Linked DNA regions of Lonchura striata. The protein of the gene in region 3 interacts with the protein of the main gene of each other region in a pairwise test. Links are inferred from orthologs where the notes say so. Each region holds a gene or a part of one and is shown on either strand. Other genes may lie near its edges.

Region 1 (7,121 bases), on a different chromosome or scaffold from region 3:
CCTGTGTGCAGCCAGAAAGGAACTGTTGATGCCTTTTGCTTCTGTAGAACCCAAATGAACAAGTTACTCCTGTAGAAAAAGTGACTGCCATCATTTCAAGGACAAAAATCAAATAAAGCTGTTAAGATAGAAAGAGTTTTGCTGGGTTCTTCATTGGCCTTAGCCTGGATACACATTAGACTCAGGTATTTGGCTCATGCAGCCACTGAATCCTGGAACATCTACTCCAAGTGAATGAACTAGAAATAATGCAGAAACCACTGCCCCTTAATTTAATTTTGGGCATACTAAGAGAAGCACAGTCTCTTTCTTGTGGGCCCATCTCCTCTCACAAACTGCACTCCAGAACTGAGACCCCCATGAAAAAGTAAAGCCTGCTTCAGACCTTGCTCCAATCAGCACTAAAATCAGATGGGAATGCCACGAGGCACATGTGGAATAGGAGAGCACTTCCATAGGCAGCCCTTCCTAGATGCTTCCTCCAATCCCTACTGTATTCCCCAAATCCTTTGTTCAAATGCTTTTCCTACACAACTTTAAGCAGTAGTGCCCAAGGGGGACAGCAATGCTCTTACAGAGCTACAGTGCTCAAAAGGACTTCCAAAATCCTGAGACGTAATTTTACAAGAGCTTGGCACATGACGAAGGGCAATGCAATCCAGTCTGTACACTGACAGCAGTCACTCTACTGTGGTCACCAGAGAAACCAGGGATTGTCTTTTTCTGTGTGCCCACCCATAATCCGCTCTAACCAAGAAGTTCCATGAACAAATAACAGCATGAAGCCACAATACAGAGGCTTCTCTAGATTCCAGAAAATCTTGTGTGTACAACACTGGCAGAAAAATTGCAATTCTTATCTAAAATGTAAATAAAATCAATTCAACAAGTGCATATCTGAGTGGATAAATTGAAGCGGTTATCAGACAAAAAAAATCCGGCTTTGCAACAGTGACTGGTCACTTCTCACTGCCAGACAAATCAAAATCCACCCTGCAGAAAAATCGGTCTCAGAACAGAATGTGAGATTTGTTTCATTTCCGAAGCTTCCTGCACCATTAGATTCTTCCCTAAAGAAGAGACTTCATTGTTACGGCAATTAGTATTCCTCGGCAAAGGGAGGAAAAAAAAGCTCTGAAAGGGTAATCGAGCCATTTCGCAGCTTTGCCTCCTTACTCCACCCAGTCTCTTCCCTGTTCAATGGCTGCTCACAGCATCCACAAACATGGGAACAGCAACAGAAACACACAAAAACGAGATGCCCGAGAACAAGCCGGATATTTGCAATGCATCTCACAGTTTTAAAATATTTTCTTTGTTTAGTTCCCCAACATAATTTTCCTATTTAACAAAATTACTCTAAGGGCAAATAACAATCTGACAGCAGACCCTCCCTCTCCCGAAAACCAGCAAATGCTGCACAATCATTTACAAAATGATCATCACTGAACGGAGGTTCTTTAACCAACACCTCCTAATGCCATGAACAATACTGTCATAGGAACATATACTTCAGAGAATCACCACAAAAATACATAATTTAGGCAGGTCAATATGCCCAAACATTTAATTATATTAAAACGGTGTTTATTAAAGATTTTTAATATAGCTTAGATTAACCTTCCCGCATTCCTAGTAGGCAATTCATTATGAAAGGACTTGACCTACACCAACCAAGCCCACTGCTGCAGCACTATTGAAATGGTTTGAGTGATATCATGGCAAAGAAAGGGAAGGTGTCACATTATTATTGGTATTAAAGGTCAAGTTTAATTGCATCCACCTTAAACAAAAAAATAAAATTAAAAAAAAAAAAACTCACGCCCACAGAACTGAACAAACCCCAAACTTTTCAAAGGAGGCACCACTCCCACCCCCCAACTTCCATCAAAAGCCCTGCCTGCCTATAACCTCCTGCTGAAACAAAACCTCGCGAGCAGTAATTAATACAGGATTAAAGCAATATTTTAAGGTTTATCACGGGAAGCCTGTGCACCTGCAGGCATCCAGGCAGTGATATGACCCTCAGAAGGAGAGATTAGACCTCCCTCCCCCGTTTTACTGCAGCTGGTTCTGAAGGTCTGAGCCACCTCCTATCGCTGCTGCCCTGCTGAGCACTGCAGGAAAACTGGGGATGCGAGACAAATTCTGAAACAACACCTACTCCTCTCGGTGGATTATTAATTCTCGCCTTGTTTTCGGTGCCTCGGCCGCGCTGGCCGTTTGGGCCATCGCCCGACGGCCGGCCCTGCCCGGGGAGGGTGACAGGGGGAACCCCCGGCAGGAACCGGGGAGGGATGCTCGGGGTGCCCTCCGCGCACACAGCAGGCCCATCGTCCCTGAAGGCGATTTTATCGCTCTTTACCCCGGCCCATCGCCTTCTCCCGGTATTTGCTAAGTCACGGACGGAGCGGCGCGGCCCGCGGGGGGGGGACACGGGCCCGGCGGCGGCTCTGCACCCGCCCCACCGCTCCCACCGGGCCCTGCTTTCCTGCAGAGTCACGGCGGGAGCGGGGCCCGCGGGGAGCGCAGGAGCCGCGCCCCGGCCCGCAGAGCCCCCGCACCGAGCCGGGGGAGGACACCGGGTCGGCCCCCCCGCCGCCCCCCGCCCCGCCCGGTCCCTCCTCACCAACGGGCGCGGCCGCCATTTTGAGAGCGAGGAGAGGGGGGAGCGGGCGAGGGCGGGGAGCGGAGAGGAGGGGGGAGCGGAGAGGAAAGCGGCGGCCGCTCGTGCCGCGGGCCGGGACACCCCGCGGGCCGGGGGGAGCGGCGGGCCCCGGCCTCACCGAGCCCCGCCGGCGCCGCCGCCTCGCTGACCTGCGCGGCTCCGGCGCCACCCGCCTGTCCCACTCACCGGCGCGGCGTCCCGGTGCGGGGTCAGGGTGCCGGTGCGGAGTGGCGGTCCCGGTGCGGGGGCTCCGGTGCGCGGTCCCGGCGCTCGGGGACGCTCCGCTCGCTCCGCGCTGTCAGAGGCGCCGCGGCCGCCGGGAGGGAGGGCGGGAGCGGCGCGGCCGCCGCGGCGCTGCGCATGCGCGGCCGGGGGCGGGGACGGCCGCTCGCCGCCATCTTGGGCGGCCGAGGCGCCGGGTGCGTGTCCCGGCGTGCCGCGCGCGCCCCTCCCGACGTGCACTGCGCGGCCGCCCGGCTGAGGGGGCGGCCCGGGGACACCGGGGGAGCCGGGAATAGCGGGGATAAAGGGGGTTTTCCGGGAGAACCGGGAATAGCGGGGGTTTTCCGGGACAGCGGGAGAACCGGGAATAGCGGGGATAAAGGGGGTTTTCCAGGAGAACCGGGAATAGCGGGGGTTTTCCGGGACACACCGAGAGCACCGGGCACAGGCTACGAAGGGTCAGGCACGCCGGGGCAGCAGCAGTGGCACCGGGCTCGCTGGCTGTCCCGAGCACCGGGAAGAAGAGGCACCGCGGGTACAGCGCATCGCCCCCGGCCTCCCGCGGCACCGGGCACTGTAGTGCTTTCCTAGTGTCCCTTCCCGGGAATGCCTTCCCAGGACAGTTCTGTTCTAGTGAGTGACCTTGTCCCGCAGGTCTGGATTTGCCAGAGTTGAGAGAAACGTTCGGACCTTTCGTGTCCATCACCTCCGTGTGACGGGAGCCCTGGGGGCTCCATGTGCTGCTCCCAGTGCCCCTTCACAGGGTCAGTGGAGAAACACTGGGAACTGAATGTTCTCATTATCCACAAACCCCGCTTAGTGAAATCTCAAAATGTCCTTTATTTAGTATGTCAAAATGGTAGTTCCTCGTGGTAAACTGAGGCACAGACCACTGCTGCTTTAACCCGTACGCTCACAAGAGGTGACACAGCAGAGTCTTGGCACTGCCTGTCCCAGCTCCTGTGTGGCCAGCACAGCCAGGCAGCTCTGTGCAGCAGTTCTCCCATCCCTTTGCAGTTCAGAGTCCCCGTGCTCCGCAGTGGCCCACTGTCAGGCGTTGTATCGCACTAGGAGTTTATTTGTAGTTGTTTTGCAGTCCCCGTGCTCCACAGTGGCCGGTGTCAGGGGCAGCAGTGCTTGCCCAGGAACTCTGCACAGCCCGGCGTGGTGAGTGCTGCAGCTGCGCTGGCAGAGGCCCAGGCAGGGAACCTGCTGCTGGCCCACAATGCCAGAGCCCTGCAGGCCAGGGACAGCGACCAGAGCCACCTCCAGCACTGGCAGCATGGCAGCAATGCGGTGAGAGTGGGCCCACACAGCTCTCTGAAATGCTCATTCAAGGGAAGAGGTAGTTCCATGTGGAAAATTACCTAGATAGCAAAAACTGAAAGAAACTTGAAGTGACACTGCAAACTTCATAATCAAATGCTGTATGGTCTTGTTACTCCTGTGAGTAGCAGTGGAGATTACCTGTGTAACAGTTACCTCATGGATCTCTGTGTTTGTACGCAGAGCACCTGAGGGTGCTGGTGTCAGCCTTGCTTGTGCTGGGCCTTGGCCCCTCTCTTGCTCTTGTTTGTTTTATATAGCAGTAGACAGACAGGGCTGTGCAAACCCCCAACATCACACAGGCACTTGTCAGGGTTATTTCATAGACAACATAAGAAATGGGACTGAAATTTAGGGGAGGGATTTCAAATGGTTGCCCAAATTACCTTGGCTTTACTTCCATCTACTTGCAAAGCAGACAAAATTGTTTTGGCAACCTCAAAATTCTAATATTTCAAGTATTTTGAGATGCATATTCAAGTGATAATTAGCATCTACCCAAAAAATTAAATCTGGTTTGCAGGGATTACTGAATTTTCCAAAGACTGTTAGGACACTGGTATTTTATTCTCCTTTTGCAGTTGGTCTTCCTTGTAATATCGTTGCTTGATACTAGAGTAGAAAAGAAGTTCCAGCTGCCAGCATAGCTGAACGGTGAGGAGTCTCAGAGCCCATTTTTTTGGTAATTTCCTTGATTGCCGCCATGTACCTTAATAATAACAAACACGGACCCTGCGCCTCAGTGGGGACAGGCACAGCTCCTTGCACAGCTCCTTCTGATCTCCACTTCAGTTTTTCCCTCAGAATATTCCTGAAGGTAATGTTTGCAGCTTGCATAGCTCTGCTGCAGTGTGAGCCAGGCTTCTTCAGGGGAGTTTTTGCCATCTGGGGTGGCACGCACAGCAATAGCTACTACAGCTGAGATTATGATTCCAAACGTTCCATCAGCCCTTGCCACACACTTCCTGCTAAACATGGAAACTGGATTCATTGATAATTCATATGTTGCCTCTGAATGAAAGTTGTCATTAATATTCTACGCATGTATATATTTGTGTAGCAAAGCACCTGCAGTGACTGTACCACTGCAGCCAACTCATGTACACGTTTCACGTCCGTTGCGGTGCCTGACCTACAAAAGATGTGAGCTGTTACAGTCACAGAGCTCTCGAAGAGAAAGAGTTGCATGAAAATGCCTCCACAGATTTGAACTGAAAGATCAGTGCAGCTTTAGGTCGAGACTGAATTCCAGTGACACAAATACTGTCATTACAAGGTGCCTAAGCACATACCAAAGGAAATTAACTTGTAGCTATGTCTTGCAATTCAATTTAGTGAGTCAATGGGCATGTCTACCTGTGTCATTAACCCTGTCACTGGGATAAATCACAAGAAATGAGCATTTTTTCTTCTTTTTGTTCACTAGTGAATAGTGACTTCTCTGTGGCTCAAACAAGACTCTAGAACTGCAATTTTCCACTTTTTTGTTCCTTTAGATGCAAAAGTTTTAGAAATCTCACTCCCAGTACTCATGTGGGTTTTCCTCTGCATTATAAACATAAGGAAGAGAGCTGTGTCCCCCACTCTATATGACATTCTCAATAGCATTAAAAAGAAGATAAACTAATCCTACCTCTGAGGTTCCTCTGTGGGGAACCTTGGCCCTGTGCAAAGTCTTCCCTTGTTGCAGTAAAATGTTTCACTGAAGTGAATCCCTTTTCTAATTTAGTATGAGGGAAATTAAAATTAAATTTTGAGCAAGTGTTCCTGTTTTCCTGCTAAAAGTAGCAATGCCTGTTTTCAGTCCATTTTGTGTCTCACCTGGATGCTGATCACATAGAGCTTATAAAGAGTTTATGCTACTTTTGATGATGTTGTGTTTCTGTATCTCAATTCAATAGTCTTTGATAGACCAATACTATTCTGATGATACTGCTGTCACATGGTTCCTTCTTTAAATTCACATGTTAGTTCTTTTCCTAGAGCCAAAGGATGAAAGTCCAGGTAGAAGCAGCATTTCAACCACTTATCAGTTCTGTTTCCACTGGTGTTCCCTGCCAGGCCCTTATCCATGCCTGACTGCTCACCCTGGAGGTGCAGCATTCCCTGGCAGCCGTGGGCCTGACTCCTGTGCTAGTCCTGGGTTATCTGCTGGTTCCTCCATGTTTTTGTGAGGTTGTAATTGGTGTCTGCTTGGCCTCACATTCACCTTCTCTGTCCCCATACAGAGAGTGGGATGTTAAAAATATCCTTTTTCTGGGAGACTGTGAAAGCAAGTGTTGCCTATAATAAATTTGGTAAAGTTTTTAACATAGTTTTAATTGCAAGTATTTATTGTCAAATGAGAAGATGTGTTCTGCTCCCAGAATTTTAAAATCTGTGGGAATTATGTTGTTCAAGGTTAAATATCCTTACTTAAAAACATTTATTCAATAGTTATAGTGAATTATTTCTTATACCTTCAACATGTTTTTCAGGGTTATAATGAAGGCCAGCAACATGCACATTCCAGTTAAAGGGATGGTAAAGTAGTGCAGAGATAATAAAGCATCAACCTTTAAATCTAATTGGAGCATGCACTTTTGCCTGCAAAAGCCGCACATAGTTCTCATACTAATGCTGCAGCTGAACATGCAGATCAAGTCATCATAGACTGCTGTAGCTAACCAGGATAATTTGTTCATTAGTACATGATTTGTGTAGAAAACTGCTGCAAAGATTCATGCAAGCATTTGGGATTGGTTGCATCGCTCCAGATGTGCTGCACAGCTGCAGTTCAGCTGCAATTAGCAGTTGATGGACTCTAGCACAAGCCTTGCTGTACCTCAGCATCCCTTCTCCACTCAAGCTTGCTCCTAACATTGGAGAAGTGTAGCCTGTGCTCCATGGGTGCTGCAGAACTCCA
Region 2 (7,719 bases), on a different chromosome or scaffold from region 3:
GCACAGGTGAGGCCACAGGTGAGGGATCTGGGGGGATTTGGGGGGGATTTCAGGTGATTTTGGGGGGATTTAAGGTGATTTTGGGGGAGTTTAAGGTGATTTTGGGAGGATTTAAGGTGATTTTGGGAGGATTTTGGGGGTCCCCGCTTGGCGCCGACCCCCGCCATGGGCACCTGGGCACAGGTGAGGGCACAGGTGAGAGATTTGGGGGGATTTAAGGTGATTTTGGGAGAATTTGGGGGAGTTTAAGGTGATTTGGGGAGGATTTTGGGGGAGTTTAAGGTGATTTTGGGGAGAATTTGGGGGGATTTCAGGTGATTTTGGGGGGGTTTAAGGTGATTTTGGGAGAATTTGGGGGGATTTTCAAGAGATTTGCGGGATTTCGGGGGAATTTAAGGTGATTTTGAGGGGATTTGGGGGGGATTTGGGGAGATTTTGGGGGGGTTTAAAATGATTTTGGGGGGAATTTGAGGGGATTTTGGGGGGGGTTAAGGTGATTTTGGGAGATTTTGGGGGGATTTGAGGGGATTTTGGGAGAATTTGGGGGAGTTTAAGGTGATTTTGGGAGGATTTAAGGTGATTTTGGGGGGATTTTGGGGCTCCCCGCTTGGCGCCGACCCCCGCCATGGGCACCTGGGCACAGGTGAGGGCACAGGTGAGGGGTCTGGGGGGATTTCAGGTGATTTTGGGAGAATTTGGGGCAGTTTAAGGTGATTTTGGGGAGTTTAAGGTGATTTTGGGAGGATTTGGGGGCGTTTAAGGTGATTTTGGGGGGATTTGGGGGAATTTTGGGGGGATTTGGGGAGATTTTGGGGGGAGGTTAAAATGATTTTGGGAGATTTTGGGGGGATTTGAGGGGATTTTGGGAGAATTTTGGGGAGTTTAAGGTGATTTTGGGGGGGTTTAAGGTGATTTTGGGGCGATTTGGGGAATTTTGGGGGGGTTTAAAGTGTTTTGGAGAATTTTGGGGGAATTTTGGGGTTTGGGGGGAATTTTTGGGGGATTTGGTGGGATTTTGTGGAGATTTTGGGGGGTTGGATGGGATTTTGGGGGAGTTTGGGGGATTTTGGGGGAGATTAAGGGATTTTTGGGAGAATTTAGGGGTACTTTGGGGTATTTAAGGTGATTTTGGGGGGATTTGGGGAATTTTGGGGGAATTTGGGGGGGTTTGAAATTATTTGGAGAATTTTTGAGGGATTTGGGGGAATTTTGGGGGGATTTAGCGGGATTTTGGGGAGATTTAAGTTGATTTTGGGATTTTAGGGGGATTCGGGGAATTTGGGGGGATTTTTTGGGATTTTGGGTGAATTTTAGCATTTTGAGTGAATTTTAGGTGAAACTTGAGCATTTTGGGTGGGTTTTAGATGAATTTTGGGACATTTTGGGTGAATTTTAAGCATTTCGGGTGAATTTTGGGTGAAATTTGAGCATTTTGGGTGAATTTTGGGGATTTTGTGTGAATTTTGGGCATTTTGGGTAAATTTTGGGCATTTTGGGTGAATTTTGGGTGAATTTTGTGCATTTTGGGTGAAATTTGGGACATTTTCGGTGAATTTTGGGGGTTTTGGGTGGATTTTGGGTGGAATTTGGCGCATTTTGGCTGAATTTTTGAATTTTGGGACATTTTCGGTGAATTTTGGGTGAAATTTGAGCATTTTGTGTGAATTTTGAGTGAATTTCCGGTGAATTTTGGGTAGAATTTGGACATTTTGGGTATATTTCGGGTGAATTTAGGGCATTTTGGGTGAATTTCGGGTTAATTTTGGGTGAATTTTGGGCATTTATGGTGAATTTCGGGTGAATTTTGGGCATTTATGGTGAATTTTGGGAAGAATTTGGACATTTTGGGTATATTTTGGGTGAATTGGGGGCATTTGTGGTGAATTTTGGGCATTTTGGGTAAATTTTGGGCATTTTGGGTAAATTTCGGGTGAATTTTGGGCATTTTGGGTGAATTTTGAGTGAAATTTGAGAATTTTGGTTAGAATTTGGACATTTGGGGTGAATTTCGGGTGAATTTTGGGCATTTTGGGTGAATTTCGGGTGAATTTTGGGCATTTATGGTGAATTTTGGGAAGAATTTGGACATTTTGGGTATATTTTGGGTGAATTTGGGGCATTTCGGGTGAATTTCGGGTGAATTTGGGGAATTTTGGGTGAATTTGAGGCATTTGGGGTGAATTTCGGGTGAATTTTGGGCATTTCGGGTGAATTTTGGGCATTTCGGTTGAATTTTGAGTGAAATTTGAGAGTTTTGGTTAGAATTTGGACATTTTGGGTGAATTTCGGGTGAATTATGGGGATTTTGGGTGAATTTGGGGCATTTTGGGTGAATTTCGGGTGAATTTGGGGCATTTGGGGTGAATTTCGGGTGAATTTCGGGTGAATTTTGGGCATTTCGGGTGAATTTCGGGTGAATTTTGGGTGAATTTCGGGTGAATTTGGGGCATTTTGGGTGAATTTCGAGTGAATTTTGGGCATTTCTGGTGAATTTCGGGTGAATTATGGGGATTTTGGGTGAATTTTGGGCATTTTGGGTGAATTTCGGGTGAATTTGGGGCATTTCGGGTGAATTTGGGGCATTTTGGGTGAATTTTGGGTGAATTTCGGGTGAATTTGGGGCATTTCGGGTGAATTTGGGGCATTTCGGCTGAATTTCGGGTGAATTTCGGGTGAATTTTGGGGATTTTGGGTGAATTTCGGGTGAATTTTGGGTGAATTTCGGGTGAATTTGGGGCATTTTCGGCCCTTTGGGAGCGCGGCGCCGCCGGAGCCCCAAAATGGCGGCGGCGGCCTCAGGGCGGGCCGGGAGCGGCCCGGGAGAGCCCCGGGGGGTCCTGGGCTGCTCCCCACGGAATCCGCGGCGATTTTGGGTCGAATTCCGACGATTTTGGGGCTTTTTTGGGTTTTTTTGGGGTTTTTTTGGGTTTTTTTCCGCGCCCGTCCCGCCCCCCCCCTCGGATCTCACCGGAGTCAGCGCCGCGCAGCCGCCCAGGCCACGCCCACCGCCCGCGCTGATTGGCTGAGCCGCGCTGGCCACGCCCCACCCCCGCCTCTACGCGTTCTGATTGGTCGAGCCGCCTAAGCCACGCCCCCGTTGCCGCGGTAACGGCGAAAGGGCGGGAAAAGGAGCGGCCCGCGGCTCTTAAAGGGGTAACGGGGGAACTCTTAAAGCGGCGATGGCGCCGGTGGGGCCCACCGAAGGGATTTTTGGGGGTTTTTCGGGGATTTTTTGGAGTTTTTTGAGATTTTTTGGGATACTCGAAAATTTTGGGGACCCCCGGGGCTTTTGGGGACACTCAGAGCCCTTCAAGACCGCTTGGAGACATTCCAGGACCTCTGAGAGCACCCAAAAATCCTCAAATCCCCAAAATAAACCCCAAAATTCCTTCGGGGACCCCCCCCAAAAATCCGAAAATCCCAAAAAATGACCCCAAAAACTCCTCTGGGAACCTCCAAAATCTGTCCAAGGCAAAAATAACCTCCCAAAATCCTCTTAGGGACCCCAAAATCCTCTGGGACCCCAAAATTCCCCCAAAGATCCCAAAACCGCCCAAAATTCCTCAATTGCCCCCAAATTTCCCAAATTTTCTCTCCGGGGACCCCCAAAAATTCCCCCGAGGATGCCCAAATTTCACCAGCCCCCCAAAATCCATCCGAAAACCCCAAAATTCCATCAGGACCCCCCAAAATCTCCCCAAAATCCCTTTGAGACCCCCGAAATCTCCCTAAATCTCAAAAATCCCCAAAAATTTTCCTCAACTCCCCCCAAATTCCACCCAAATCCCACAAAATTCCCCCAATTCCTAAAAGATCCCCACAATCTCTCTGGGATCCCCTGGGGACCCCCAAAATCTCTTCAGGGACCCCCAAAAATCCTCTGGAACCCCCAAAATTCCCCAAATTCCTAAAAGATCCCCAAAATATTTTTGAGATCCCCTGGGGACCCCCCAGAATTTCTTCAGGGACTCCAAAAAATCCTCTGGAACCCCCAAAATATCCAAAATTCCTAAAAGAGCCCCAAAATCTGTCTGGGACCCCCAAAATCTGTCTGGGACCCCTGAAACTCCTCAGGGACCCCCCAAAAATACCAGAAATTCTGTCCAACTTTAAAAGAACCCCAAAATCTGTTCCTGGACCCCCAAAATCCCCCAAATTTTTAAAACATCCCCAAAATCTCTCTGGGATCCCCTGGGGACTCCCAAAATCTCTCTGGGACCCCCCAAATTCTTAAAAGATCGCCAAAATCTCTCTGGGACCCCAAAATTCCCCAAATTCCTAAAAGTTCCCCAAAATCTGTCAGGGACCCCCAAAACTCCTCTGGGACCCCCAAAATTCCTCAGGGACCCCCAAAATTCCCCAAATTCCTAAAAAAACCCCAAAATCTCTCTGGCACCCCCCAAATTCCTAAAAGATCGCCAAAATCTCTCTGGGACCCCCAAATTCCTAAAAGTTCCCCAAAATCTGTCAGGGACCCCCAAAACTCCTCTGGGACCCCCAAAATTCCCCGAATTCCTAAAAAAACCCCAAAATCTCTCTGGGACCCCCAAAATTTCTTCAGGGACCCCAAAACTCCTCAGGGACCCCCAAAATTCCCCCACCCCAAAAAACTGACCCGGGGGGGACCCCAAAACTTGGGAATTTTGAACCTTTTTTTATTCACGGCAGGAAGAGCCTCGACCGCCGCTCCCCCCCCAAAAATCCCGGCCCCGCCCCCCGGCCCAGCACATTTGCATAGATCGGGTTCGAAAGGAACCAAATTTACATATCCGGGGGGGAGGGGAAACGCCCCTCCCCCACCCCGCACCCCCAACTCTGCTGGGCACGGTCCTGAAGCAAGATGGCCGCCGGGATGCAAGATGGCCGCCGGGATTCAAAACGGCTGCCGGGAGTCACGGGAGGCAAGATGGCCACCAGGAATCAAGATGGCCGCCGGGTTTTGTGGTCTTCTCATAGTCAAGATGGCCACCAGGATTCAAAATGGCTGCCGGGAGTCACGGGAGGCAAGACGGCCACCAGGATTCAAGATGGCAGCTGGGTTTTGTGGTTGTGTCGTAGTCAAGATGGCCGCCAGGAATCAAAATGGCTGCTGGGAGTCATGGGAGTTAAGATGGCCGCCAGGTTGTGTAATTGTGTCGCAGTCAAGATGGCTGCCAGGATTCAAAATGGCTGCTGGGCATCACATAAGTCAAGATGGCTGCCAGGATTCAAGATGGCTGCCGGGCGTCACAGGAGGCAAGATGGCCGCCGTGTTTTGTGGTCGTCTCGCAGTCAAGATGGCCACCAGGATTCAAGATGCCTTCTGGGCATCACATGAGTTAAGATGGCCGCCAGGATTCAAAATGGCTGCCAGGAGTCATGGGAGTTAAGATGGCCGCCAGGTTTTGTGGTTGTTTCGCATTCAAGATGGCCACCAGGATTCAATATGGCTGCCGGCAGTTACAGATGCTGGGGAGGCCAAGATGGCCGCCAGTTTTCGCTGTCAGTTCATGGCCAAGATGGCCGCCAGGTCACACGTTGGTCAGAGATAAGATGGCCGCCAGGATTCAAAATGGCTGCCAAGTCTTCGATCTTCTCATGGCCAAGATGGCCGCCAGGATTTAACATGGCCGCCGAGTTTACAGTGAAGATGGCCACCAGGAACCAAGATGGCCGCCAGAACTCACAAAAGTTGGTGGAAGTCAAAATGGCTGCTGGGAGTCGAGATCGACGAGCAGTCAAGATGGCCGCCGGATCATGTGACAGAGTCAAGATGGCCGCCAAGTTCCTGCATCTTCCCAGTCAAGATGGCCACCAGGAATCAAAATGGTGGCCAGGCATTGATGAAGATGGTGGGAGCCAAGATGGCCACCGGGAGACAAAATGGCTGCCAAGATTTTTGCATCTCACAATCAAGATGGCCGCCGGGTCACGTGATGGCCAGAGTCAAGATGGCTGCCGGGAGGTTGGGTCAAAGTGAGGTCAAGATGGCCGCCAGGAGGCAAGATGGCCACCACCTTTAGGGGTTGGTGTTCAAGATGGCTGCCAGAAAACAAGATGGCCGCCAGGTTCAAAATGGCTGCCAGCAATGACGTCACCCAAGCCAAGATGGCCTCCAGCAGTGACATCACGGACGCGCGCGGGCTGCCATCTTGGATCGACGGTGGCGGCCATCTTGGGGTCACTGAGAGGTCACCCCGGCGGCCATTTTGAGACCACGCCCCCTTGCATGGCAGCCATATTAGGGTCAACCAAAGGTCAAGTGTCAGCCATATTGGGGTCAAACAAAGGTCACTGTCAGCCATGTTGGGGTCAGAGGTCACCACGTCAGCCATATTCGGGTCAGTCAGAGGTCATCATGTCGGCCATATTGGGATAATTTAAAGGTCAAGTGTCAGCCATATTGGGGTCAATCAGAGGTCAGGTGTCTGCCATATTGGGGTCAATCAGAGGTCAAGTGTCTGCCATATTAAGGTCAACCAAAGGTCAAGTGTCGGCCATATTGGGAGCGAAGATCACTGTGTCAGCCATATTGGGGTCAATCAAAGGTCACCCCACCAGCCACACTGGGACTGATCAACATGGCCGCCATGTCAGCCACATTTAAATCCCCCACAAATCACATGACCACATCCAGGCGGCCGGCGGCCATTTTGTATCCCTTCCCTGTCAGCCATTTTGTGTCACCCCCACTGTCGGCCATTTTGTTTCACTTCCACTATCAGCCAATTTGTTTCACTCCCACCGTCAGCCATTTTGTGTCACCCACACTGGCGGCCATTTTGAATCTTTTCCCTCTCAGCCATTTTGCATCACTCCCACTGTCAGCCATTTTGTCTCACCCCAAGCGGCGGCCATTTTGTCTCATGCTTACCGTCAGCCATCTTGTTTCACCCCCACTTTTGGCCATTTTGTTTCACCCCCACTGGCGGCCATTTTGTATCCCTTTCCGGTCAGCCATTTTGTGTCACCCCCACTGTCGGCCATTTTGTTTCACCCCACTGTCAGCCATTTTGTCTCACCCCCACCGTCAGCCATTTTGTCTCACCCCCACCATCAGCCATTTTACATCACCCCACCGCCGGCCATCTTGCCCCTCCCCCACCACCACCCACCCCCGTCTCTCCCCCCCTTGCCGCCATCTTGCCGCGCCCCTCACGTCCTCCCCTTCCTCCCCCTCCCCCCCGCCCCCGCCCCACCGGGGGGGTCCGGGGGGGCCGCCCCTCCCCCTCCCTGCGCGGGGGGGGCGGCGCAGCGCCGGGGGGGCTGCGTCCGGCGGGGCGGGGCCGCGGGGGGACCCCGCCCCCTTTTCCTCCCCCTCCGGTGGGCGGGGCCTCCGCCGGCCCCTCCCCCCCCGGTCCTGCGCCGCTTGGCCGGGCGCGGGGGGAGGGGCTCCTTCCGCTTGGCCCCGCCCCCTCCGCCCGAAGCCACGCCCACCCGGCCGCCATCTTGCCGGGGGCGCCGCCGCGGCTCCCGCTGCAGCGGCGGGGCCAGGGGGGCGCCGGGGCGGGCGCGGGTGGACCGCGGCATGGCCGCCGCTGCCGGGGAGGGGCCGGGCGACCCCTCCCCGTCCCCTCCCCCGCCCTCGCGCTCCGGCGACGCCATCTTGGGCGGCCGCCCCCGCCGCCGTTTCCGCGGCGGCGCCGCCGCCGCTTTGGGGTCCTCGCGGCGGGGGCGGCGCCGGCGGGCGCCAAGATGGCGGCGGCGGCGCCTCCGCGCCCCGCCCCCCGCGGGGAGGGG
Region 3 (7,191 bases):
CAATTTCCATACAGAAAACTCATGTTTTGCAAACAAAGTATATCCATAGTGGATCCTAGCTTTCTCAGCATCAGTAGCTTGCAGGCTTGATATTTCTCCCTGAAAGCATTTTGCAGGTAAGCTTTTAATGGAATCCACACCTGTATGGTAAAGGAGAAGAAAAAAATTACATGGTGTGTTAAATAGTTAACACTACACAGAATTAAGGAAACACCTTCAAGAAAGGATACTACCATGCTTAAAATAGGAACAGCAGCCTTTGTTCAGTGCCAGAGGGCCAAGTTTTTCCTCGTGTGACTGCTGGTTTACAAAGGGCACATTCATTCCGAATACATAAGGGTTTTGCAGCAGTTTTCCTCCAAGAATATTGAACAGTATTACAACATACCCTGGGTTCAATCCTAATCTAAGCGACACGGCATGAAAGGGCCGTTTTCCGGAAAGAGACACAAGATACTAAGGATGAACTTGGAAATCACTATGGCAACTCCGCAGGTCCCTTCCCCTTCACCTTGGGGGCCAATACTCCAAAGGAGGTAAGAAAACCACTTTCCGCAGGAATCATTAATACACAATATGGCCAAAAGCAGGAAAGGTCACAGCCTGTCTCCGCTCAGTTAGAAAGAGGGGTTCGCTCAAGGAAAGACAAGGTTAAAATGGGAAAAGAAAAAACCATAACTCCCGAGGAGCGCTCGTGAGGTGCCACACACTCGAGTAAATCGCGCTTGAAAGGTCAGCTGGTTCAGTAGCTGTCAAAGGCCCAAGCTACGGCGAGCAAAATAAGCCTAACCAAGTGTGCCTAATTTGTGAACAAAGTCAGAATTAACCTTTAGGGTTTTCGCTTTTGTCAGTACAAAACATTGTTTGCAGTGCTTTCTGTCCACCTGTTCATCACAATTAATTTATCCTGGTGCTAATAAATCCCCTTTTCTTACACAAACCCACTACAATTCCACCAGAAGCAGCTTAGGCCCAAAGTTTTGACTTCACTTTACTGAAGAGAACAAAGGATGATTTATCTTAATTTAAAGAGGGAGGAAGCCAGTGGCAATACAATACCTGCCTCTGACTGTTTTTTAGAGTGCTGCTGCACTATAACCTTCAATGTTGTGCATGAGAATGTGCCATTTTTGGTGCCCAATCTCAAAGAGAGCTATAAAAAAAATTGATAATTCTGATAGTATCAAATACTGGGAAGGAAAAAAAAGACATATTAGATATGGTCGTAACCTCAAGTATACTAAACATTGCACATAAACATTTGGTGGTTCTTGTACATTCATTTCCCATGATCCCAATATTTTAAGTAATCACAAATCTCTAACCTCAGCCATTTTTTTTTCTTTTAAAACAAATATTTCTGTTAAACACCCCTACTTTGCAGTTTCCTAAGGGCCTAGAAGCCCTATGAATAGGGCTTCAACTGGAAAACTGTCAATGCCTTCCCAGAGTGAACCACAACAATTTCACCTTCAGCAATGAGATGGGGAAACATACAACATCATTAAAGGGACTTTAGTATTTAAACACCAAGAAATTTTTTAATAAGTAGAACTCCTCCCGTTTTTAGGAGCTACTCTAAGGCCAATAGCAAATTAGCAAGTAAATGAACCAATACAAAAGGATAAAACAAAAGATAATGCATCCTAGGGGACTTCACTAATTTCTCTGAAAACCACCATTACCTCTAATTGGCAGCAGCACTTGCTGCTATACATTCTGCAACATATTTTATGAAAACCTTTATTATAAAACCTTCTCTGCAGAACTTTAAAATGCTAGCATAATTAATTCAAAAGCTTAGCAAGAAGTTACTCAAGCACGTGTACACAAAGATTAATGTGGATTACCAAAACAGGAATGAGCCATTTTGTATTAAACTGATGGCAAGGATGACTGTAGTGTTTGCAGAAAAGTCTTGGTGGACTCGTGGAGCTGGGAGAACCTCGTACCCCAAATAACCCAAAAGGCAGCAGACATACCTAGTGAGAAATACACCTTTCTTTCCCACTTGTCCTGAGAAAGGTGAAGTGTTTTTTTTTCCAGAATTTCCCAGGGGCTCCAGCCTTTTGCCAGCACCACTGTTGATAAGGAGGGCAGCCCTAGCTTTGACCAGCTGATTGCTGCTGCTCTAAGAAAAAAGGAGAGCAGTTCATCCACCTTATAGGTGATGGTCTTGTAAACTTCATTTCTTTATAAAAGCATATACACACAGAGTGTCCCCTGAGAAGGAAGTTTTCTTTTTCTTCCTTAAGCCAAGACTGTAGACATAACGTGGGTGACTTTTCGAGGAGCACCATTACTTCCCACTTTGTAGTTGGTTATTTAAAAAAATTAAACAAATAAACCATAGCAAATAAACCATCGATGTCTTCCTATCACTATAACTGCGGGCTGAAGTGAAATCAAAGCATCTTATTTTTTGAGTTAAAAAACGATAGCTACGTTATCTCAAAGTCACAAGACCCTTTATTTTACCCTCTCTTAGACTGCATTAACTGTGAAATAAAGCCAACACCACCAGGGGCTTAAAAGATTAAAAAAAAAAAAACAAAAAAAAAAACTAAAGAAATTCTAAAACTTTCAGACTGTGAAATGAAAGATCCGGGTTGTTGTTTTTGTTTTTTTACCGAGAAGGATTAAAAAAAAAAAAAAAAAAGTACATTTTCAGTACATTTTCCCCATACCCAACACGAGGGCGACTCCCCAGAGCTGCTGCTGCTGCTCCCAGCCCGGGGGCAGCATCCAGCCGAGCCGCGCGGTCCCTGCAGCGGGGAGCAGCGCTGCCGGCCCGGCCCCGGCAGGGGCACCCACGGCCCCGCGCGTCCGGGGCTCCTGCGGAGCTCGGCGGCCGGACCCCGCCGCCTCCCGCCTCCCGCGGGGCCCGGCCCCGCTCACCTGCGCCCGCCGCGTCCCCGCCGCCGCCGCGGCGCCGCCTGTCGGTACCGCCCGGCCCGGGCTGCGGCCGCCACATCCCGCCCGGCCCGCAGCCGGCGGAAAGCGGCCCCGGCCCGGCCACTCCCCGCCGGGGGCGGGCTCGAGGCAGCTCCGCCGCCCCGGGGAAGGAGAGGGCGGCGGGCGGGACCGGCTCCGGCTCCGGAGGGCGGCGCGGCGCGGTGCGGTGCGGCGCGGCTGGTCGCACGCACAGCCCCAGGGAGCCCGGTCCTCCAGGCTCCCGCCCGCGCAGCGGTCTCAGGCTGTGCAGGCTCTGTTCCCGCAGGGCAAAGATGGGCGGGAGAGGAAACGGGGAATCACAGAATCGGTCAGATTCTGACCACAGCGGTCCAGGCTCCCTGCTCAAGCAGGGTCATCGTAGAGAACATGGCACAGAATTGCGTCCAGATGGTTCTTGAGTATCCCAGTGAGGGAGACTTCACAACGTCTTCGCACAATCTGTTCCTGTGCCCGCAGAGTGAAGTAGTTCTTCCTGATACTCAAGTGGAATTTCCTGTGCTTTGGTTTCGGCCCATTGCTTCTTGTCCTATCACTCGGCACCACCGAGAAGAACCTGGCTCTGTCCTCTTGGCACCCTCCCTTCAGATACTTAAAAACATGGATGAATTGTCCCCTCTCTGTTATCTCTCTTGAGGCTGAACAGGTTCAGCTCCCTCAGCCTCTCTCAGCCTCTCTCTGGAGCATCATAGGGGAGATGCTCCAGTCCCTTACTCATCTCTGTATCCCTCCACTGATATGCTCCAGGAGCTTCATGTTTTTCTTGTACTGAGGAGCCCAGAACTGGACACAACACTCCAGATGCGCCTCCCCAGGGCTCATTAGAGGGGCAGGATACCCTCCCTTGACCTGCTGGCAATATTCTTCCTAATGCATCCCAGGATTCCATCAGTCTTCTTGTCCATGTGGGTGTGGGCATGTCTCACGAACAGCTTGTTGTCCACCAGGACCTTCAGGTCCTTCTCCATGAGCTCAGATGGAGTTTCTTTCCATCAGCCCCTCACCCATACCTTGGGTTATTCACTCCAAGTGAAAGACACAACCTATGCTACACATAAAAATATATGGCTTCCATCTCACAGGTCCCAGCATAACAACAAATATATGTACCAAATATACTCTATACCAAACATACTCTTGGAAAAGAATTTATTTTCAGGTTTAGGCATACTAGGCATTGCTTGGTCTCAGAGCCATCATGTGACTGTGAGCCCTACTCTGGCACTGCTTTGCATGTCAGATACTGAATTTAGCAAGGCATGTGTGCAGTTATTATTGCATTCATTGGCTTGAAGTAGCCATAAACATCTTGCAAGCAGGACTTAAAGGGATGCTAAAAAAGTTTGCAGATGATCCAAAATTGGGAGGAGCTGTCAACTCCCTTGAAGGCTGGAAAGCCCTGCAGAGAGACCGTGACAAATCAGAGGGCCGGGCAATCACCAACCATATGAAGTTCAACCAGGGAAAGTGCTGTACTCCACACCTGGGATGGAGCAACCCTGGATGTATGGACAGACTGGGGAATTAGGTGCTGGAAGGCAATGCCATGGAAAGGGACCTGGAGGTCCTGGTTGATGACAAGTTGAACATGAGCCAGCAGTCTTGTGTGAGTGCTGGGCACTACAATAAAACAATGATATAAAATGCTTAGAGAGTGTCCAGAGGAGAGCAACAACGATGATGAAGGTCCTTGAGGGGAAGACATATGAGGAGTGGCTGAGGACACTTTGTTCAGCCTGGAGAAAAGGAGGCTGAAGGGAGACCTCACTGCAGCTACAGCTCCCTTGTGAGGGGAAGAGGAGGAACAGGCACTGATCTCTTCTCTGTGGTGACAGTGACAGGACATGAGGGAATGGCCTGAAGTTGTGTCAGGGGAGGTTTAGGCTGAATATTAGGAAAAAATTCTTCACCAAGAGGGTCTTTGGGCACCGGAACAGACTCCCCAGGGAAGTGGTCACAGCATCAGCATGACAGAGTTCAAGAAGCATTTGGACAACACTCTCAGGCACATGATGTGATTCTTGGGACTGTCCTGTGCAGGGCCAGAAGCTGGACTTGATGACCCTTGTAGGTCCCTTCCAACTCAGAATATTGTGTGATATTGTGAATATTATGTATGTATTTTCACTGTTTTTGTAGGGCTCCAGATAATTTATGTCACAGAGCTTTTTCATTTTGTTGAGAGGTACCAACTTTTATATATATATATGTATGGGGTTTTGTTGGTACAGAGGCAATGACGAGAATCAGGGATGTTTTAGCTGAGCAGTGCTTACACTGCTTCTTGAACTGCCCTGCCAGTGAGCAGGCTGGGGTATACAAGAAGATGGGAAGGGACACAGCTGGGACACCCTGACAACAACCCAAGGGATATTCCAAACCATATGTCCACATGATGTCATGCCCAACAATAACAGTTGGGGGAAGGAGGAGGAAGAGAGTACATTCAAATTTATGGCATTTTTCTTCCAAATTCACTGTTATGCATGATGTAGCCTTGGTTTCCTGGGGATGACTGAATGCCTGCCTGCCCACCCATGGGAAGTGGTAAAGAATTCCTTGTTACATATCATTGTAATAACAGGCATTTCTGCTAAAATCCCCTTTCCTGTTTTGTAATTTAGGTAAGTTTAGTCCTCCACCATTTCCAGTGTATCTTCTCCTCCCTAGTTAACACATATATCATCTTTTGCTATCCCTGGTATTTCTCTACTGACAGTTTTATTTCTATTGTTATTCTTAATTATGAGCTTTATACAAGCTTATGAGTACCCACTGACTACAGCTTTTATTAACTTTGCTAAAGTGGTACCTGCTTCACTCACAGATCATCATATCCACCATATTAATCATGTACATGAAATCAATGTTTTCCAGACGGCCTCCATCCATCCTAGCCTTCAAGAATGCTTCTTCCTTCTCAGATGCAGGAAATGCAATTGTAAGTTAACTACACAAGGAAGTTTTCACAACATTCAGAAAAGCTGCTAAAAAAACCGGGTTTATATAACAACTGTCATAATACTGATTTTCTCTAGTTTGAGTCCATTAACTAAGAAATACAGGACATGCTAAGAGAGTTTTGACCTCTTGCTCCAGTCTGTGCCCTTCCTGACTTGTGAGAGAAGACAACAAGCAGCTGTGCCTTACATGCCAAAAATAGCCACCCATCCTTCTTCATCCTTCAGCCTTGCTGCAGTGCATCTGATTCAGGTGATGTCAGTGCTGGTTCCCATCATTCAGAAAGAAACTGGTTGTAAAAGGCAGCTCTGTGGGTGCAGACAAAGGGCCCATCTAGCACAGCCTTGCTCCCAGCTCAAAGCCAGGGCAGCTCTCTCAGCAAGAGCAGGAACAAGGAAGAGCAGGAACAAGACAGCACCCACAGCACTTCCCCTTTGGACTGTGCCACCCTCCTCTGATCAATGTGTGCTCAGGGGGTTCCTCAGCTCAGTGAGGTTTGTTGAGTCAGTAGCCTGCTGTGGTTCCCAGGCTCTCCAAGGGTTTGCCCAGCTCCACCTTGAGCCTGCTTCAGCTTTTGACCCACAGAGCATCCACGAGTCAGGGGCTGCCCAAGGCACCAGCTCTTACTCTGAGCCTGGCTATGGCTCCCTGCCGTTGTGAGCTCCTGGATTTTTGTGCTTGAAAAAATATTTTTTCCCAAAGCATCTGTGCCTCCGATGATTTCCTGTGTTAACTCATAATGTAGTCCATTTTCCAAACTGTGCAGTGCTAAACTAGTCAGACTGATCTAGTACACAGTCCCTCTATAATTTTTTTCTGTTTCTGCTTTCTGGGGTGAAGGGACTAAGTAAGGTTTGCTATGGATTTCTGCAGTGGCATCTTCATGTTTCCAGTTCTGTTCTGTGTTCCTTCACAAATGGTCTGTAACATTTGATTGAGTGCAGCCACACACTTAACTGATGTTTTCTGATATGTAATTAGTGCCACAGTTTCCTTCTCAGTGGCGGTGGTAATTTCAGAGCTTTTCATCTTATATGAGAGGCTAGGAATTTTTCTTCCTGGTAGGTGCTGATTCAATTCACACAGTGAATTTCATCTGTGGTTTGATTGCCCACAAGGCAACCTCACGAGGTCCAAGTTCTTTGCATCCAGCTCTTGTTCATGCTGCTTCAAGTAACTCAGCATCATCAGCAGACTTGTTTCAGATGCTTATATGGTGAACAGGAGGGGGTCAAGAGACACTAGTCATCACAAAGCTACCAAAAGGTACATAGTCTC
Region 4 (7,391 bases), on a different chromosome or scaffold from region 3:
CTGGAAAATTTCTGGTTTAAGAATCCTTCCTATCCTGGCACACTCAGTCCTCTGCACCCACAGGGGCACTGCTGGGTACCACGGCAATGAGCACGGTGCCCAGTGATGGATAGAAACGTGTCACAGAGAAGGCAGGAGCCAGCCCCAAGTGCACTTACTCGATGCACCAGGCCGTGCATTTTAATCAGAACTCAGTGCTTTGTTCCTGGCCCAGCCTCCAGCACATCAAGCAGATGCACTGCTGCGGTGGAGCCCGACTGTGTGGCCAAAATAAACTCTGCAGTGTGGCAAAAACGGGAGCTCCTGCCACCTCCTATGTCACCTTCCAGCCCAGATCTATAAATCCCACCTCATAAGCCCTTGGGCAGTGGCAAACTGAACTGAATGATGGTGTGCAGGGTTCTGCTTGTGCTCAGCCTTCACAACAGCACGCTGCCATCCTGCAAATACACCTCCCTTCCCTGGGACAGCAGGAGGGAAGCCAAAGCAAAGGACTGGCCAGACTGGCAGGCAGAGTTTGACCTTTCTGACACAGATTTGCCTGTGGCTCGTAAGCCTCAGCCTCCTGGAACATTTCAGTGACTCAAACTCAGAGATAAGTGTCCTGAGCGCTTCCTTTCCCTGCTGCTGGGAACAAATCGCCAGATTTTTGAGTCACTACCTGCTCCCAGCATTTCACAGAGTCACCTCTCACCCCTTTAAACACACAAGCAGCACAAAAGCAACATCTCCTACACCCAGACTCATCTACAAACCCACTGCAAAGTGACATTTCTTTTCTGATACATAAAAATTTTGCAAGGCTTGGGGAATTACTCCTCCCTGCCATGTTTTGTGCTCAGGCAGCAAATTTACTATCGATTTCTGATTCAGACCCCATGGAATGATTCACGCTTCGTGCCCTATCTGCTGAATTTACGACCTTTAACAATTATTCTAAGTGCTGGAGGAGCTTAGTTTAGAAGAAGATCTATTCCCTGGCAAATTAAGCTCCTATTCTTGTCTCGTCTGCAAACCACCACATCTCTCATCATTTACAGGAAAGTGCCACAGCAGGTCTGTCCCCCTGGGAGGGGGCAGAGGGCTGATTTGGCAGCAGCCCCGTGCTGGCAGAACAGTCACTGCTGGGCAGGAGAGCAGGGTTTGCTGTCCCAGCCCGGGGTCAGTCGGGGTTTTGGGTCCCCTTGTCTCCGGTTACCCTGAAATGCCAGCGCTGCTCTGCTCACCGACCAGGAGCTGCCGCTGGGTCTCGGGGGGGAGGGAGGAAGGGAATATACATTTCCTCCTAAAGCGAAAACAAAACCCTGACTGTAGCTGGTGCACATTGCTATTAAAAAGCCACAAACAGGGAAAAAAAAAAAAACAACAAACCAAAAAAAAAAAAAAAACAAAAAAAAAAAAAAACAAAAAAAAAAAAAACAAAACAACTTAAGCACGTCTGGATACGGCTTTAAAGAGAAATCATAACCTAGTTCAAATACAATTCCCAGCACAGATGTTAAATAAAAAAATTAAAAAAAAAAAAAAAACAGAGGGTGGGGAAGAAGGAGAGGGCCCTCTGCTCCCTAAATTATACTGGTCTCCTGAATTAACTCCACTGGCTTCAGCAACCTTTCTCCCTCTCTCCCAGCTTCCACCTAAGAGGGGAAACCAGCTCCAGGTCTGTTTTTAAGGCAGATGGTTCCCCCATTCCAATCTCATCTACACCGTGTATTGCTGAGCAATCATTTACACTATTAATCAACCAGAAACTCACCAGAAAGAAAGTAGGGCAAGTGAATAAAGATAGACTTCTCTTTTTTTTTTTTTTCTTGCACTGAAGCAAATAACATTGCTAAAAATACACTTGTTCAAGTCTTCAGCGGATTTTGCTTGATTTATTTGTCTATGCAGCGGGTTACGAGGAGCAGCCGGGCTGCTGCCTCCCGCAAAAATGCTGTTTCTCTCAATGACTCCCCATGCTCGTTCCCAACGAGCTGTTCTTACGGCCAGGAAGATGGGGAAAAGGAAGAAAGTTACACGAGAAATGGACCAGGGGGGACATCAGGCCACAGCCCACGCCGCGGCTGACACGTCTGACGAGCCTGACATTTCAAGGGTACATGCTGGGCTTCATTTTCCAGGGGGGTGAGGAGGAGGCAGCGCGCAGGGACACCGCGGGAGAGGGATGGAGAGAGGCTGCGGGGCCGGGGCGGGGAAAGCGGGGCTCTGGGGAGCAGCTCCGCAGCCCGGCCCCGCGATCCCCGCGTGTCCGCCTGCCCACGGGGGGATCGCAGCGCGGCGGTGTCCGGGTGGGACCCGCGGACACGCACACACCTGCGGGGGCACGGCGGGCACACACACACACACACACACACACACACACATGTGCGGATGCGCACACCCGCAGATCCGCGCACACATGTGCGGATGCACACACGTGTGGATGCGCGCACACGCGGCGGCGGGCACGCACATGCACGCGCACACGGGTTGTCTTACCCGCATTTACATACGTGCAGGCGCACATCACACACACACACACACACCAAGCACCGCAGACCCCCAGCCCCATCTCCCCGCCATCGCGGGATGGATGGATGGATGCATGCATAGGTGGATGGATGGATGCATGCATGCATAGGTGGGTGGGTGGGTGGATGGATGGATGGATGGATGGATGGATGGATGGATGCATAGATGGATGGGTGGGTGGGAGGGGTGCCGCTCCCGCATGCCTCCCCGCGATCCCCGGCCCTGCGCCTCACCCGCAGCGCCGAGAGGTCTATCTCGTCCAGGCTCCGCGCCGGAGAGTCGCTCGCCATATTTCCGCCGCCGGCCAGGCGGCCCCGCCGCCACCGACCGGGCAGTGGCGGCCGCCGCGGCGCTGGCGCTATTTAACGCCTCTCCTCATGCGGGGCGCCGGGAAGGAGAAGCCGCCGCCGCCGCCCCTGTCCTTCCGCCCGCAGCGCGGCTGCCTAGCGGCGGCCAGGCAGGCAGGGCTCGCCGCGGGCTGCTGCGCCGGGATGGCGGCGGCGGCGGCGCATCGCCGCGCCCGCCCCGCACCGCGCCCGCCCCGCACCGCGCCCGCACGGCCCCGCGCCGCCCCTGTCTGTCACCGCGGGGGCGGCGCCCGACCCGCCGCCAGGGGGCGGCGCCGCGCGGGGGCGGGCAGAGCCCCCTCAGGGCCGGGCGGGCGCCGCGCCGGGACCGCGGCGGTGGCGGCGGAGGGCGAGGGGACGCGGCCGGGGTGGTGGCGGTGGTGGCACCCGCGGAGGGACCCGGAGGGACCCTCAGGGCGTCCGGACCCTCCGGGGTGCGCGCCCAGCGGCGCACAAACGGGCTCGTGCAGCTCGCAGATCCCCCCCGACACTGACAGGCGCAGCGCCCGGGCCGCCTGGGTTCCCCTCACAAGGAGCCCGCAGCGGTGCCTGTCAGGTGCGCCGGGAAAAGCTGCCCAGGTTCAGGTGCTGAGCCCAAATCCTGCCAGGCAGGACGTGGAAAAGCTGCCCAGGTTCAGGTGCTGAGCCCAAATCCTGCCAGGCAGGAGGTGAAAAGCTGCCCACAACCTGCCCAGGTTCAGGTGCTGAGCCCAAATCCTGCCAGGCAGGACGTGGAAAAGCTGCCCAGGTTCAGGTGCTGAGCCCAAATTCTGCCAGGCAGAACATGGAAAAGCTGCCCAGGTTCAGGTGCTGAGCCCAAATCCTGCCAGGCAGGAGGTGGAAAAGCTGCCCAGGTTCAGGTGCTGAGCCCAAATCCTGCCAGGCAGGAGGTGAAAAGCTGCCCAGGTTCAGGTGCTGAGCCCAAATCCTGCCAGGCAGAACATGGAAAAGCTGCCCAGTTTCAGGTGCTGAGCCCAAATCCTGCCAGGCAGGAGGTGGAAAAGCTTCCCAGGTTCAGGTGCTGAGTCCAAATCCTGCCAGGCAGGAGGTGAAAAGCTGCCCAGGTTCAGGTGCTGAGCCCAAATCCTGCCAGGCAGGAGGTGGGAAGCGCCGAGGCCAGAGCAGCAGCCACGCATCCCCCTGCTTGGTGTTCCTCAGATGCTCAGTGGGATCTGGCCCTTTTGCAGATGGATGCGGATGTCACACCCGGGTTTGCTGGCCGGTTGTCGAGCTGTTCCCTCGGCACTCGAGAGCCATCCCAGCACTACCAGCTCCCAGGCTGATCCTAATTGGAATAAGAGATTGATGCTGTGTTTGTAATTGGCCAAACCGCTTCCCAAGCCAGCAATAGCTAGGTAGAGTCAGCTTTTAGTTTTCCTTATTTCCCCTTTTCGGATGTGGTTCCTGCCAAACCAGGTGCCGTATATAAATATATATGTATAAAAAAATCTGTTGCCTTTGAGAGAACCGTATGGAAGCTGTACTTACAACATCAACTTGTGTCAGGAGCTTACAATATGCAGATCTGGGAAGCGGAAACCCTACACATGAGTCAACTGGCAGGCGGATGGGATTTTCTTACACTTTCTGATTGGAGATGTGCTCCAAAAAGTAATAATAAATGGTATTGCAAAGAGTCGTGCAGTTGTGGGGAGGCTGCTGGTGCGGGAGGTGCAGCCTCACCAGGCAGGACTGAGGGACACGGAGGGAAAAAGGCCAGAAGGAGCTGCTGAAACCTCGCAGAAAAGATCAGGATTGGTGCTGCCGCTGCCCTCGGCTGGCTGGGCAGCCCGCACTGCCCGGGGGATTGCATCCCTGCCTTATCACTTACTAATCCTGATTGCAGCGCCGGCGTTTCAGCTTGCCGGGCTGCGAGGGCACAGCAAAATGTGATTTCTTTTTGGTGATGAACTGCCCAAGTCGCACGGGGCTGCACATCACCCGCAGTGGCGGCAGGCTGCCGGGATTTAACCCCTTTTCCCAAGCTACAAATCATCACTCCTTAATATCGTGCACAGTCAATAGCCCTCACTCACATATAAAGAGGTAATTTTGATCTAAATGCTAAACTCAACAAACTCCCCAATCTTTCGTGGTGTTTTTCTAGACCAGATGTTGTCTGTGTCTGTTCCAGCCCAGGATTTGCAATGTTGCGCTTGTAGTTGGGGAGCTGGAAGCAAAACTGCCTGGAAACTGGTAACAAACCAATGCGAGACTTCCTCCTGCCGTCATTGTTCTCAGGCAGAGAAGGGAGGAACAAACAGGATGAGAGAGGATGCTGGCTTGCTCTAATGTGCTTTGCATCCAAGAACACACAGGATTATTTGTGAAAAACATAAGGATTAATATATGCATATATATAGATAGATATGTCTAATCCTGCAAATAGACAGATTGCCCTGATCTCTCAGCACGAGTGCCAAGTCCCAAACTAAGCTGTGATTTAATTACAATCTATCCACTGCCTATAGAGATGGGAAAAATGTAGAGGACCCTCCTATTATCACTGAAATAAGAAATGCATAAAGCAATAGAGGGAAGTGACAGGAAAATCCCAGAGAGTGCTACTGTTTCCAGGCTGCTTGGGGCAAAATTGGAGCCATGGAGGGGAGATGTGCACCCAGTGACCTCTGGAGATGCCAGGGATGCTACATGGGCTGTACTGGTGCCCAGGCAGGCTGCAGGAAAAGCTTAAACTGAGCAGGAAGCTTTTTCCATCAAAAAATTAAATTTGCAATTTGTTACTCTTTTAGTTATGCATTTACCAATCTATCTGTGTCTCTCTGTGCACTGTTGGTTTTTTTTATGCCAGGAGCGTCTAAAGAAACCTTTCAGTTACAGTCACTGTGACTCAAAACAAAGTACTCAGCTGAAGTGGCTCAAAATATTTTGCCGTGAGTAATTTCAGCACAAGATTCAGTTTTTACCTGGCAGGTCCCCCCTGGGCATGGCAGCTGGACCCTGCTGTGTCACACCAGCTCCAGCCAGCGCTGGCACAGCTGTGGGTGAGACGCAGCATGGGCAGGGCACCACCAAGCCAAATAAAGGAACTGAGTTACAACACCCCATCCTTCATGAAGCAATAACCATGGAAGAAGCACACAGCCCTCCCAGCTCAGTCCCCACATCCCTTATCAGCTCCATTTCCATTTCTTCTGCCACATACTGGGATCATTTTGTGACAGGTCATTGTTTTTCTGATTTCATTTCCATTTGGAAAGTGGGCACATGTGAAAATTCCATATTTCCCACAGGCCTTGGTGAGCAATGAGCACCTTAATGACCCAAAGCTCTGCTGTCAGCAGTGGAGGACCCTGAAATAACTATTTTTGATTTACTCATTGAAGGGCATCAGCCCCCATATAAGCTATCCAGGTCATTTGACCTCTGCCTAAAACTAAATTTAATTATCTAACAGTGCCATCGCCGTTAATTATATTGTGAGGGAGTGTATGTAGGATGAATAAATCTAAGTGACACATAAGCCCTTGCCCAATTAGCAACAGCTTCAGGTGCTTTGGGCTTTGGATCATTCTTCAAAAGATCATCAAGATGAGGAATGAAGCAAACAGGGAAGCATGTTTGGGCACCAACATATGATTTATTCCACAATAATTCTGTGACCATGTAGCCCCAGTTTTTCTGGTGTCCTAAGTCCAGGCTGGTTTGCCCCGCTGTTAACCCTTGTAAGACAGTACTTAAAGGACTCTGCCCAAACTAAACAGAGAATGCTGAAAAATTTATACTCCATAAAATGCATAATAATTGGGGTTTAGGCTAACATGCAGCTGTGATAAAAGAGACTCAGAAATGACTGGCTACATGTGTCCTAACCGACATCTATTGATCTCAAATGCACTTTAACTGATTCATTATCACTTACTGATTGCTCGTCCTCCTGCTGATGAGGGTTCCTCTCCAGGGAGAGAAGTGTTTTTCCACTGCATCCTTGGAGCAGAGCAGGACTACATGAGTGAACCCTGCTGCCAGGATTTTTCCTATAGCTGTATACAAAAGAAAAATCCCCTGTAGATAGTGCATCACTCCCTTACTCAAGCATTGTGTAAGTACAAACCTCTGTGATTGGGGAGTAAATGGAAAATCAACAAGGGCTCTTTGGAAAACCCTTCCTCTACATATTCTTATCAGGAAACAGAGTGGTACACTCAAACAGCAAATTCCTGGGACACCACGGGGAAAGAGACAGGGGATGGTTCACTTCCAGGTTAACTCACCCACAGCACTGCAGGGTTCTTCCCCAAAATATTTGAGGGAGCAAAATATATGCTGAGGACCAGCACAGGGTTTTCTTTATGCCCCTTCTGTTGCCATTGCTTTTGTCTTCTCTTAAGGACTGCCACTGTGGACCAAAGCCACCAAGGACACTCCAGCCTGGAAGCCACCCCCAGTATGTTGCCAAAAGCAGCAGGAGTGCTTGCTGTGCCCGTGCCTGGTTTATGTAGCTCAGACTCACTCTGTGCCTGGCCTGAGCTGAAGAAGGCTTCTCCAGGGTAGCAAGCACCCACATCC

The links.
Region 1: the proteins of DISC1 (region 3) and PAFAH1B1 interact in a two-hybrid assay, tested with the Homo sapiens proteins (2 studies listed by BioGRID and IntAct). The link is inferred for Lonchura striata from reciprocal best matches to the Homo sapiens genes DISC1 and PAFAH1B1.
Region 2: the proteins of DISC1 (region 3) and E3 ubiquitin-protein ligase BRE1B interact in binary tests that used the Homo sapiens proteins (3 or more experiments, as listed by UniProt). The link is inferred for Lonchura striata from reciprocal best matches to the Homo sapiens genes DISC1 and RNF40.
Region 4: the proteins of DISC1 (region 3) and TNIK interact in binary tests that used the Homo sapiens proteins (3 or more experiments, as listed by UniProt). The link is inferred for Lonchura striata from reciprocal best matches to the Homo sapiens genes DISC1 and TNIK.

Annotation. Positions count from the first base shown.
Region 1 is NC_134622.1:11,367,652-11,374,772, reverse strand, and holds the start of PAFAH1B1 (platelet-activating factor acetylhydrolase IB subunit beta), read right to left. Parts: upstream 3,006-7,121; 5' UTR 2,855-3,005; intron 2,670-2,854; exon of another isoform or gene 2,630-2,669; intron 1-2,629. UniProt on the Homo sapiens protein: Regulatory subunit (beta subunit) of the cytosolic type I platelet-activating factor (PAF) acetylhydrolase (PAF-AH (I)), an enzyme that catalyzes the hydrolyze of the acetyl group at the sn-2 position of PAF and its analogs and participates in PAF inactivation.
Region 2 is NC_134637.1:902,173-909,891, forward strand, and holds the start of E3 ubiquitin-protein ligase BRE1B, read right to left. Parts: upstream 3,003-7,719; 5' UTR 2,969-3,002; intron 1-2,968. Other genes in the region: helicase SRCAP, read right to left, coding at 6,856-6,924, 7,417-7,641.
Region 3 is NC_134605.1:43,738,601-43,745,791, reverse strand, and holds the start of DISC1 (disrupted in schizophrenia 1 protein), read right to left. Parts: upstream 3,002-7,191; 5' UTR 2,975-3,001; coding exon 2,899-2,974; intron 2,066-2,898; exon of another isoform or gene 1,983-2,065; intron 1-1,982. UniProt on the Homo sapiens protein: Involved in the regulation of multiple aspects of embryonic and adult neurogenesis. Required for neural progenitor proliferation in the ventrical/subventrical zone during embryonic brain development and in the adult dentate gyrus of the hippocampus.
Region 4 is NC_134612.1:22,736,358-22,743,748, reverse strand, and holds the start of TNIK (TRAF2 and NCK-interacting protein kinase), read right to left. Parts: upstream 3,010-7,391; 5' UTR 2,805-3,009; coding exon 2,748-2,804; intron 1-2,747. UniProt on the Homo sapiens protein: Serine/threonine kinase that acts as an essential activator of the Wnt signaling pathway. Recruited to promoters of Wnt target genes and required to activate their expression. May act by phosphorylating TCF4/TCF7L2.